Sus scrofa: one gene and its partner. The protein of the gene in region 2 interacts with the protein of the main gene of each other region in a biochemical or structural test. Links are inferred from orthologs where the notes say so. Each region holds a gene or a part of one and is shown on either strand. Other genes may lie near its edges. The genes, in order: LHX3 and RLIM.

Region 1 (4,585 bases), on a different chromosome or scaffold from region 2:
CACAGCCCAGGCCTCCTTCCGCAACCCTAATGCCAGCTCAGAGATGCAGCACAGAGGCCCCTGGGTCGAGTCTCCTGCCTAAACCGCCCTCCCCAGGGGCCATTCCATCGATGGCAAAGACGTTGGGAGATAATGGAGGCATTGTTGGCGGGCCGGCCAGATGCCCAGCGCATGGGCCCGCCCGCCCCTGCTCCAGTCAGACCACACATGGCTCGTCCCAGGCAGGCCTCTGCAGCAGCTGACACTCAACGGCCGCCGACGGCCCAGCATACCCAGCACCCTCTCAGCTCCCTGGCTCAGACCCTCTCGCCCTGTCCTTCTGGGGAGCAAGCTTAGGGCAAAGCGAGGGGGCAGGCACATGCTCCTGCTCAAACTGAGCCGCAGGGTGGCTCAGAGCAAAGAGGAGCTGTGCTTTTCCTGCCGAGATCCTTCCAGGCCGGCCTGCAAGTTCGTGTACAGACCAGGCGACTGGAGGCCAGGAGGGGGCAGGGTGATGCTGGGGCATCACTGGACTCCAGGCGGAGCTTCCCGTCGGGGCGGGGGGGGGGGGTGGCACCAACCTCTGGTCCCCAACACTTCCTGAGGTCCCTTGCCCTCACCACGCCCTGCGCTGCCAGGGTCCACACTGCCGTGTCCTGACGGTGGGTGGCTGCGGGGGGCTGGCCTGGCCTGGGCCTGCCCTCTGGGGTAGGCGAGCATCTCACATGATGAGGACGGTGGGTCCTGCAAGCTCACCTGTTTGGACTGGGGGCAGGGTGTGGGAGAATCGGGCACTGAGCCTTCCTCCTGTGCTGCGGTGGAGGGGAGTCAGAGTGGCTCCTGGCTTTCCCAGCTTCGTCCCTCCTGACCTGGAGTCCATCTTGGCCGCATCCCGGAGGAGTCGGAGCGAAGGACGCTGGGTTTCCCCTCCGGAGACTCACCCTCCCTCCCTGCGCCCACTCTGGGCTGTAGTTTCCAGGGGGAGGCCCAGAAGCTGCTCAGAGCTGGCAGGTCCCAGCTCGGGTCTGGCTCCTGGTGGCTTCGCTGAGTCCTAGGGCGGCACACTCACCCTCTTTGGGTCGGGGTGCGCTCGGGCGGCTCGACATTGTGACCAAGCCTCCCAGCTCCGGCTCGCTCTCGAGTCCGAGCCTCAGTGGCGGTAGGACCCGGCTCCCTCCCCTCCGTCCCCGCCCCGCTTGGGCCCCCAGCCTACCCGGGCGAGCCCGGGCCCAGGCCGCAGCCCAACGCCGGCGCCGGGGCTGGAACTTGCACGGCCCGGGGAAGCGCCCTCGGGCAGCCCCGGCCCGGCTCCTCCCCTGCGGCTCCGGGCCCTCGGGGCCGCGCCAGAGCCCCGCGGTCCTCCGCGCCGAGGCGCGCAAAGCCAGCGGACGCCCCCGACGCGTCCCCGCGACCCCGGCCCCGCCCCGCGCCTCGGCCCCGCCCCCGGCCGCTCCGCCTCCGCGCGGCCCGTGGCTCCGGGCCCCTGGGCGGCCGGCGGGCGCAGCGCCCAGCAGCGCCGGGAGACGTTGGCACGCCGGCCCGGGGCCATCGAAGCCGTGGTCGCACCGGGCCCCCGGCAAGTCCAGGGACCGAGAGCCGCGGCGCCAGGCGGCGGGACCCATGGAAGCGCGCGGGGAGCTGGGCCCCAGCCGGGAGTCGGCGGGCGGCGACCTGCTGCTGGCGCTGCTGGCGCGGAGGGAGGACCTGCGCCGAGGTGGGTGCCCGGCCGAGCGGCTGCGCCTGGGAGGGCGGACCCCGAGGAGACCTGGAGGTCCTCGCTCCTCTCCCGGCCTGGCCACGGAAGCTGCGGGAGCCGGGGATCGCGGGCCGGACCGGGTGTCAGGGCCCTAGCACAGCTCGTCCCTGCCTGAGCCCCTGGAGCTGTGCTGTCGGGCGTTTGGTCGTGGCGCTGGTGCTGCTCGGGCCAGGGAGCGCTCTGGGTCCCAGGACCGATTTCGGACACCCTCTCCCTGATGGGGAGAGTGTGCAGAGAGCAAACGTGGGTCCCAGTGACCACGGGGAGGAAGGTCCCCACGAAGGCTGCTGGTGCCCAGACCGTTCACCCTTTCCAGGGGAAGAGAGTCAGATGAAAGGGCCAGCGTGGAGCTGCGTCCTGGCCGTGGAGGGTCCCCAGCTGGGGTTTCGGGGTCCGCACGCACAGGCACCTGCTGTGTTGGCCCACTCAGGGCAGTCCTCCTACAGGCAAGCCCTCAGCTTGCGGGTGGCAGCAGCCTCGCTCCCACCGCCTTGGCGCTCTCGAACTGGGGCGGTTCGCTGCAGGCTTCCAAGCAGGCGGGACCCACAGGACTGGGAAGGAGGTGGCCCGGGGGTGGGAGCAGGGGGCGGGGGCAGGTGGGAAAGGGGTTGCATCCAGGCTGAGGGGTCTCATCCTGCTCCTGCTTATTTATTTATTTTCCGACGGTTCCTGGGAGGGGCGGCCACAGGAGCTGGGAGGAAAAGGTGGGAGGGCCGAGAGAGAGGGAGGGAGGGGCGCGGGCTCGGAGCGCCACGGCGCGCAAGGTTCTGTTGGGCCCCGCCAGCGCTGACGGTAGGAGACCCCGCCAAGGCTGGAGTCGCCATGCAGCGTAAGACCCGGGCCGCCGGCGCTTCGCGAGAGCGCGAGGGGCGCGGCGGGAGCGGCTTTTGCCGGCCGCGGGCTCCAGGGGTAGCACGGTCGGGGCGCTGTCCGGGCCGCGGTGCTGAATCTGCGCCGCGCCGGCCTGTCCAGCCACCAGCCGGTGCCGGGGGTCCTCGCCGTCCTGCCATCGCCAGCCCGGATGGGGGGCCAGGGTGGGCAGCATATTCCCCAGGCTCTGCTCCCAGGGCCGCGGTTTTGTCCGACGCGGGACCCTGTCCTTCGCGGGTTTCCTGGGCTGTGGGAGGGAGATTGATCCACTTTCTCTCAGCCTGGAGCAGAGGTCGAGCCCTCTCTGGCCCTTCCACCCCCTGCCGGGCCGGCCTAGGGCTGGAGGGGTGTCCCGCAGCGAGGTAGCGAGGTGAGCTCGCGTGATGTTTGAGTGGTTCCAATTCCTGCTCATGGCTCTCTCCTCTCCGGAGACCTTTTCCAAATTAACGGGGAGTCCTCACCCCATGGACACCCTGAAAGCCGCTCATGAGCCTGTGGCTCCGGAAGGCAACCCCTGCCTTTCCCCAGCCTGGTTTCCCTGGCGGCCCGTAGTCCCCGGGAGCAGAATTAGCAGGAACCCAAGTGTCTCTGTGTTGGGGTGGGGGGCAAACCACCTACTGTGTGCTCGTGAGTCCAGTCCACTCAAGTGCCAGCAGGGCCTCCCAAAGACGGGACGCCAGTTTTTACTTTGGTGGCCTGCAGACAGGACCCCGGGGCTGAGCAGCCACACCTGCAAGGTGTCTCTAGGTACCACGACGCCTAATTGTGCAGGTAGTGAGGGCGCTTGGATGGTGAATGCCCCGTGACCCCCACATGCCTGGCCTCTGGGGATGCTGAGGGCCCGACGTCCAGCCCAGCCTCTGAGAGAGCCCTCGGGTCGGGGTTTTTGCTTGAGCTCAGCGTGCCCCTCTGTGCCCTGGAAACATTTTACAGTTGATGAGCTCAGGCCTGTGGGGTGGCCTGGGCACCTTCCTGCCCAGGGGCCTGTTTCTAAACCTAGTTCATCTGTCCTGAATTTTAGCTGTGGGCCAGGCTGAGGACTTCCACGCCCCGCACTCGCACTCCCTGAACCTGAGCTCAAGCCGGCCGGGGACGAGGGTGTGCAGGGAAGGCAGTCCCCTCCGCGGCCCTGGTCCTGGGGGCGGGGGTGGGATGGTGCCTTCGAGGCCCCCCGATCTGTGCCCACGACCACGGGGGCTCCTCTGCCTGCAGAGATCCCACTGTGTGCCGGCTGCGACCAGCACATCCTGGACCGCTTCATCCTCAAGGCTCTGGACCGCCACTGGCACAGCAAGTGCCTCAAGTGCAGTGACTGCCACACGCCGCTGGCCGAGCGCTGCTTCAGCCGCGGAGAGAGCCTCTACTGCAAGGACGACTTCTTCAAGTGAGACTGGCTGCCGCTGGGCGGAGGGGTTGCTACGGTCTGCCCCGGGGAAGGGGGCCACCCCGAGGACCCCCCTGGACCCCCACGATAACCAAGGCCGGAGCCCTGAAAGCGCCTCTCTCCAGACCCCTTCCTGCTCCCCAGGCTGGGTGTCCTGGGGCTTCTCGGTTGGCGGCTGGGCTGGCACATTAGCAATTTTTCAAAGTAATGAATTTTACGAATTGTTGAAGCGGTTGTTCAAAAGAGGCCCCCAAGTTTGTAGAACTCTGCTGGGCTCACTCTCTCTTCATTTTGGGCTTGTTTTTGTCCTTAAATGATGGGGATGGGGCATCCACCGGACACAGACCTCGGAATCCAAAGGACCTGCCGCCCGCCGGCCCTGCCCCTTCCAATGCCCCTTCCTGATCCAGCGCCGAGGCCGGCCGTGCTCCCCGGGGCCTCCGGATCCCCTTCCCCGAGTCCGTGCGGCTCTGCCGCGCTGCCGGGGCTGCGGGCAGGCGACCAGGGGCAGGGCCGGGCGAGGCTCCCCTCCAGGACCCGCCCTGCGCGGCGCCGCGCGAGCTGCTTGCTCTCCGACCCGCTCGGGGCGAAGGAGC
Region 2 (4,299 bases):
CAGGTTTGCAACTGTTGTCCAGGCATAATTATTAATAATGTCCCTTTTGCTCTTAAAAACATCCTAGTTAGGGCAATAAATTATGCAGTTACCTTAATGATGATGAAAGGAGTTAATACTAATTAAAGTACTATATATCAATTATGACTTTGGGTATCTCAAAGGAAAAAAATCGAATACCACACAAAATATGAGATTATATTCTTGTAATATAGTCTGATGGTTCATTTAATTATTCAATAAACATTCAAACACTATTTATTTGTACACATCCCATTCCAACACTGATTTAAGGCAGTAAGTTTCTATCTCGTTCTTTCTCTTCTATACAGGTATTGGTAAACCTCACACATTATTTTAAAAGATGAAAATTCAGATAGAGCACTAGTGAGTTTCAGCTACTCAGGAACACTACTCTTTGAATACCCAGTGAAAAACACTCATTCTGATTATGAAGAATGCCCAACACCAACTAACATGTATCAAATAAGCCCATCCAATTACAGGGCCTGCAAAACAGAATAAATTATTTTTAAACATGCATTCTACACATAAATTATCAGGAGACGCAACAAAAAATAAATTACCTGACTGTTATGACATAGTATTGTAATACAATAAACTGGATTTTAGTTTTCTTCACTCTCTGCTCTAGAAAAAAAAAGAATCCATTATTCTTCCTCTTTGATAAGATAGACATTTTCTTTGAAACAGACACATCCTAAAAAATACATATTCTATATATTTTTAGATACACACACATACATACATACACATACCATAACCCAACCTAATTCAACATCAATATTAGGATATTTGGGGAGACTGAGGTCAGAGGGATATGTTAGATATAAGACTTCCTTTAAAGGTTGAGAGCCAATCTACATTTGATATAAACTTGATTAAAATAGGCTTTTCCTTATCATAACAGTAATTATTTTCGGATACTCATGGTTACTTTCAAGAACTTATTTGGCACACTACACTAGCCTAAGGTAGAAACTAAAGTATGAAAGATTATCCGGACATCTTAGGCTAAAGAATGAAGCATTTTTTTCAGTAAAAGAGTATACTAAATGAAATTTTAAAAAAATTTTAGATTAGTCTTCCTGGGCACTTTATTTTTACAACTTAGAAAACTGATTTTTGGAGAGCGTTAACTGTGCCTGCCTGCTCTCAAGTCATCCAGGACGGACATAATGTACCTGATGGGGTGATATGAGTGTTCTTTAATCACAAAGAATCAAAGAAATGATTTGTAGTAGTACGTTTATTTCTTCCTCCCTTCAATCATCCAAAGCCACTGCGGTTAATTCTGATTCAGGAAATGCGGGCTCCTTATATCCAGCAAAAAATTACTATGGGGCCTTGCAAATAATGGATCACAATGTGATATAAATGCTTCCTCTTGCCCCAAAACGAAAGAATGACCTAAATAAGAAGCCTGCTAGGCCTCAGATTCTCGGACTAACCTGTGGAATAAGTATGGTGAAACTGTCTAGGGAAGGAACGTGGCTGTCTCCTCCATCTTGAAATTAATCAGCATAAGGGAAAAAGGGACTGAGCATTCAGGAAGCAGAAGCCCAACCGGTTAATACTAGTTACTAAAGCTATGGCGTACGTGGCAGGTACCGCCCGCAGAAGCCGAGACCCTTAGGCCTCTTTTTTTTGGGGGGGGGAGGGGTTGAGTTGTTGGCGGATCGAAAGGAAATTAACTTCAAAATCATTTGGCCCAATTCCCACACTCACTCAGGGAAAAACAACAAACACGCAACGGCTTTTCCCTCCCTTTTGGGGGGAATGCTTGCAGTGATATCTGGCAAAGGATACGCCAGGGTTATTTGAGCAAAGGAGTAAACCACATTTGCTTCAGATCCTCAGGGAAGATGGCATCACGGCCCCAGGGGGCGTCTAATTGATAGTGCCCTACAGAAGGGCTCAAAATGGGGTTTTGCAAATCCTGAGAAATCTAAAGGCCCAAGAGCTCTCACATCTAACTTAGAGCAGGCTGATTTTTTGCCCCCATTTCCTAAATCCAAGCCCGCCATGTAAAAGGGAGGGGGGGAAAGAGGCGAGGTAAGTCTCCAGAGGACCGAAGAGAGAAAAACCTGAGACGATCAAAGATTTTCACGCCTAAGGCCAACACTCGAAAATCGCCTCCCCCAAATTCTTAAGGTTCTGAAGGGCTCAGGCTGAGGCTCGCGAGGCCACGGAGAGGAAGTACTACCCATCTCCTTCCCCTTCTTCAAAGAGCCGGTTGACTATACACCCAACTAAAATGGCAGCGGCGACTACGCCACGGAGCCCCCCACTGCAACCGGCGCCTGGGGTCCGCAGGCGGCGCTGACCCTCCGCCACGATGCGCCACTCAGACCATTTTGAGAGAACGCGGCAGTCACAGCTCCGCTGTCTTCTCGCTCTCCATCCATTTCTCGGAGGACTCACTTACTCGATTTTAGTGTCGTGATCCGACTCGGTCGGTTCGGCCGCCGCCGCCGCCGCCGCCGCCGCCGCCGCCGCCCCGCCGCCCCGCCGCCGCCGCCGCCGGGGCTCCTGGGCGCCTCCCCTGCCGCCGCTCTCAAGCCCGCCTCCGATGAGTCGCTGGTTGAGACCCGCCTCTAACCCAGCGCCTGCTCGCAGACGTTGCTCAGGCAGCCATTATCTTCCCCATTGTTACCAAGCAGCGACAGGAAACGCCCGCCCACAACAGGAAGTGATGATGCCGCGTCTAGCCCCGCAGCCCCACTCCCAGCCTGTTAGCCAATCCCCGGCGATTCCTCGAAAAGGCTCGGTGGGAGGAGGAGAGGGACCGCTGACGACGCGGCAAGGCGGGCCACCGCCTGGAAAAGGAAAGCTGCTGTGACGCCCACCATGTGACAAGCCACACCCTCCTCCGCCATTTTGAATTGTGGCGAGAAATTCACGTTCTGAGAATTGTGGGAACCTTTGCTTTCCCATTTTGAAAGCTGGAGGACGTCACCATCTGATTGCTGGAAGCCCTTTTCCGAGAGTGAGAAATGTGGTGTTAGTCTAACCTGACGTCGATTCACAGAATTAGTCCGGGCCTGTTAATACAGCGTCCTACTTTTATTCGACATATATTTATCGAGCGTAAACTGTGTCAAGCACTGTTAGAGATGTTGGGATACAGCGGAAATTAAAGCAGGCCAAAATCCCAGTTTTCGTGGGTCTACTTGGGGAAGGGACAATAGTTACTATATATGTATATGTTACATATGTATAAATGCTAAGGAGAAAAAGCGAGGGACAGTGGTGGGAGAGTGTCACGACAAACAGGAATTTGCGGTTTTAAAAAGAGTGGTCAGAGGTGGCCTCGGATGGTAATTCTGAAATACTTGAAAGGGGGCGGTAATTGTAAAAGGGTGGGAAAATCTGATAACGTTGGAATTTAAGGGCGGTTAAGGAAAGACTTTTCTTGGATACTAATGCCTGAATTGGAATCTAGGGAATAAACTATCCCGCTTCCAACTCCCGCTTTCACAGTTAAAAACAACCGTACCCAGGTCTTTAGGGTGTTTCCATGTTTCTTGTCCCATTTTTCTGTTTTCTTTGTTTTCAGGTAACACTCCAGCTACACTGGCTTTCTCACTACTCTTCCAGCAAACTAAACTTGTTCCGACCTCTACAACTTTATATAGGCTGGAATTTTTCCCTTAATATCTTTGCTCTCATCATCCGAGCCTTTTCTCAATTGTCATTTCCCTAGGGGACACTTCCTTAACCACCCCACCTGAAATTACAACTTCCCTTACCTGCTAAATTTTCTTTAAAGCATTTTGAAATAAATATTTGAAAATATTTGTTTACCTCAACCATTTAAGAACAGTAAACCCCTTTGTTTTGTTCACTGTTTATATCCCCAGTGAGCTCATAGTAGCCCTCAAATATTTTTTGAGACCGTACAGGCCTCAGCATGATGGCCATTTCATCAGCCAGGAATATAAGTGTATTTCACTCCAAGCAGTTAACAACAATATCCCTCATACTTCCCTGCTCAACTTTTCAACAGTCTTGATATTGTCATTTTTAACAGTAGAGGAATATAATTTAGGTGCTGTGTCTCTACTCAGCTTTTGTCTTATGTTCTATAATCATACAATAGAACTTTTACCTAGAATGTGTAAAATGAATTCTTCAGTGGCCAGCAATTGCTCCTAACCTGATACTCAGATTATGGCAGTAGCATTAACCTCTCCTTGACATATTCTTAAGGCAAATGTGTCTTAATGTAAAATATAAAATCATAAAAGAAGTAGAAGAAAATGGAGTTCCCTGGTG

What was found.
Region 1: the proteins of RLIM (region 2) and LHX3 form a complex in vitro, tested with the Homo sapiens proteins (2 studies listed by BioGRID). The link is inferred for Sus scrofa from reciprocal best matches to the Homo sapiens genes RLIM and LHX3.

What each region holds. Positions count from the first base shown.
Region 1 is NW_018084833.1:1,474,043-1,478,627, forward strand, and holds the start of LHX3 (LIM/homeobox protein Lhx3), read left to right. Parts: upstream 1-1,599; coding exon 1,600-1,693; intron 1,694-2,481; exon of another isoform or gene 2,482-2,557; coding exon of another isoform or gene 2,558-2,564; intron 2,565-3,817; coding exon 3,818-3,989; intron 3,990-4,585. UniProt on the Homo sapiens protein: Transcription factor.
Region 2 is NC_010461.5:59,917,664-59,921,962, forward strand, and holds the start of RLIM (E3 ubiquitin-protein ligase RLIM), read right to left. Parts: upstream 2,802-4,299; 5' UTR 2,450-2,801; intron 652-2,449; exon of another isoform or gene 588-651; intron 1-587. UniProt on the Homo sapiens protein: E3 ubiquitin-protein ligase.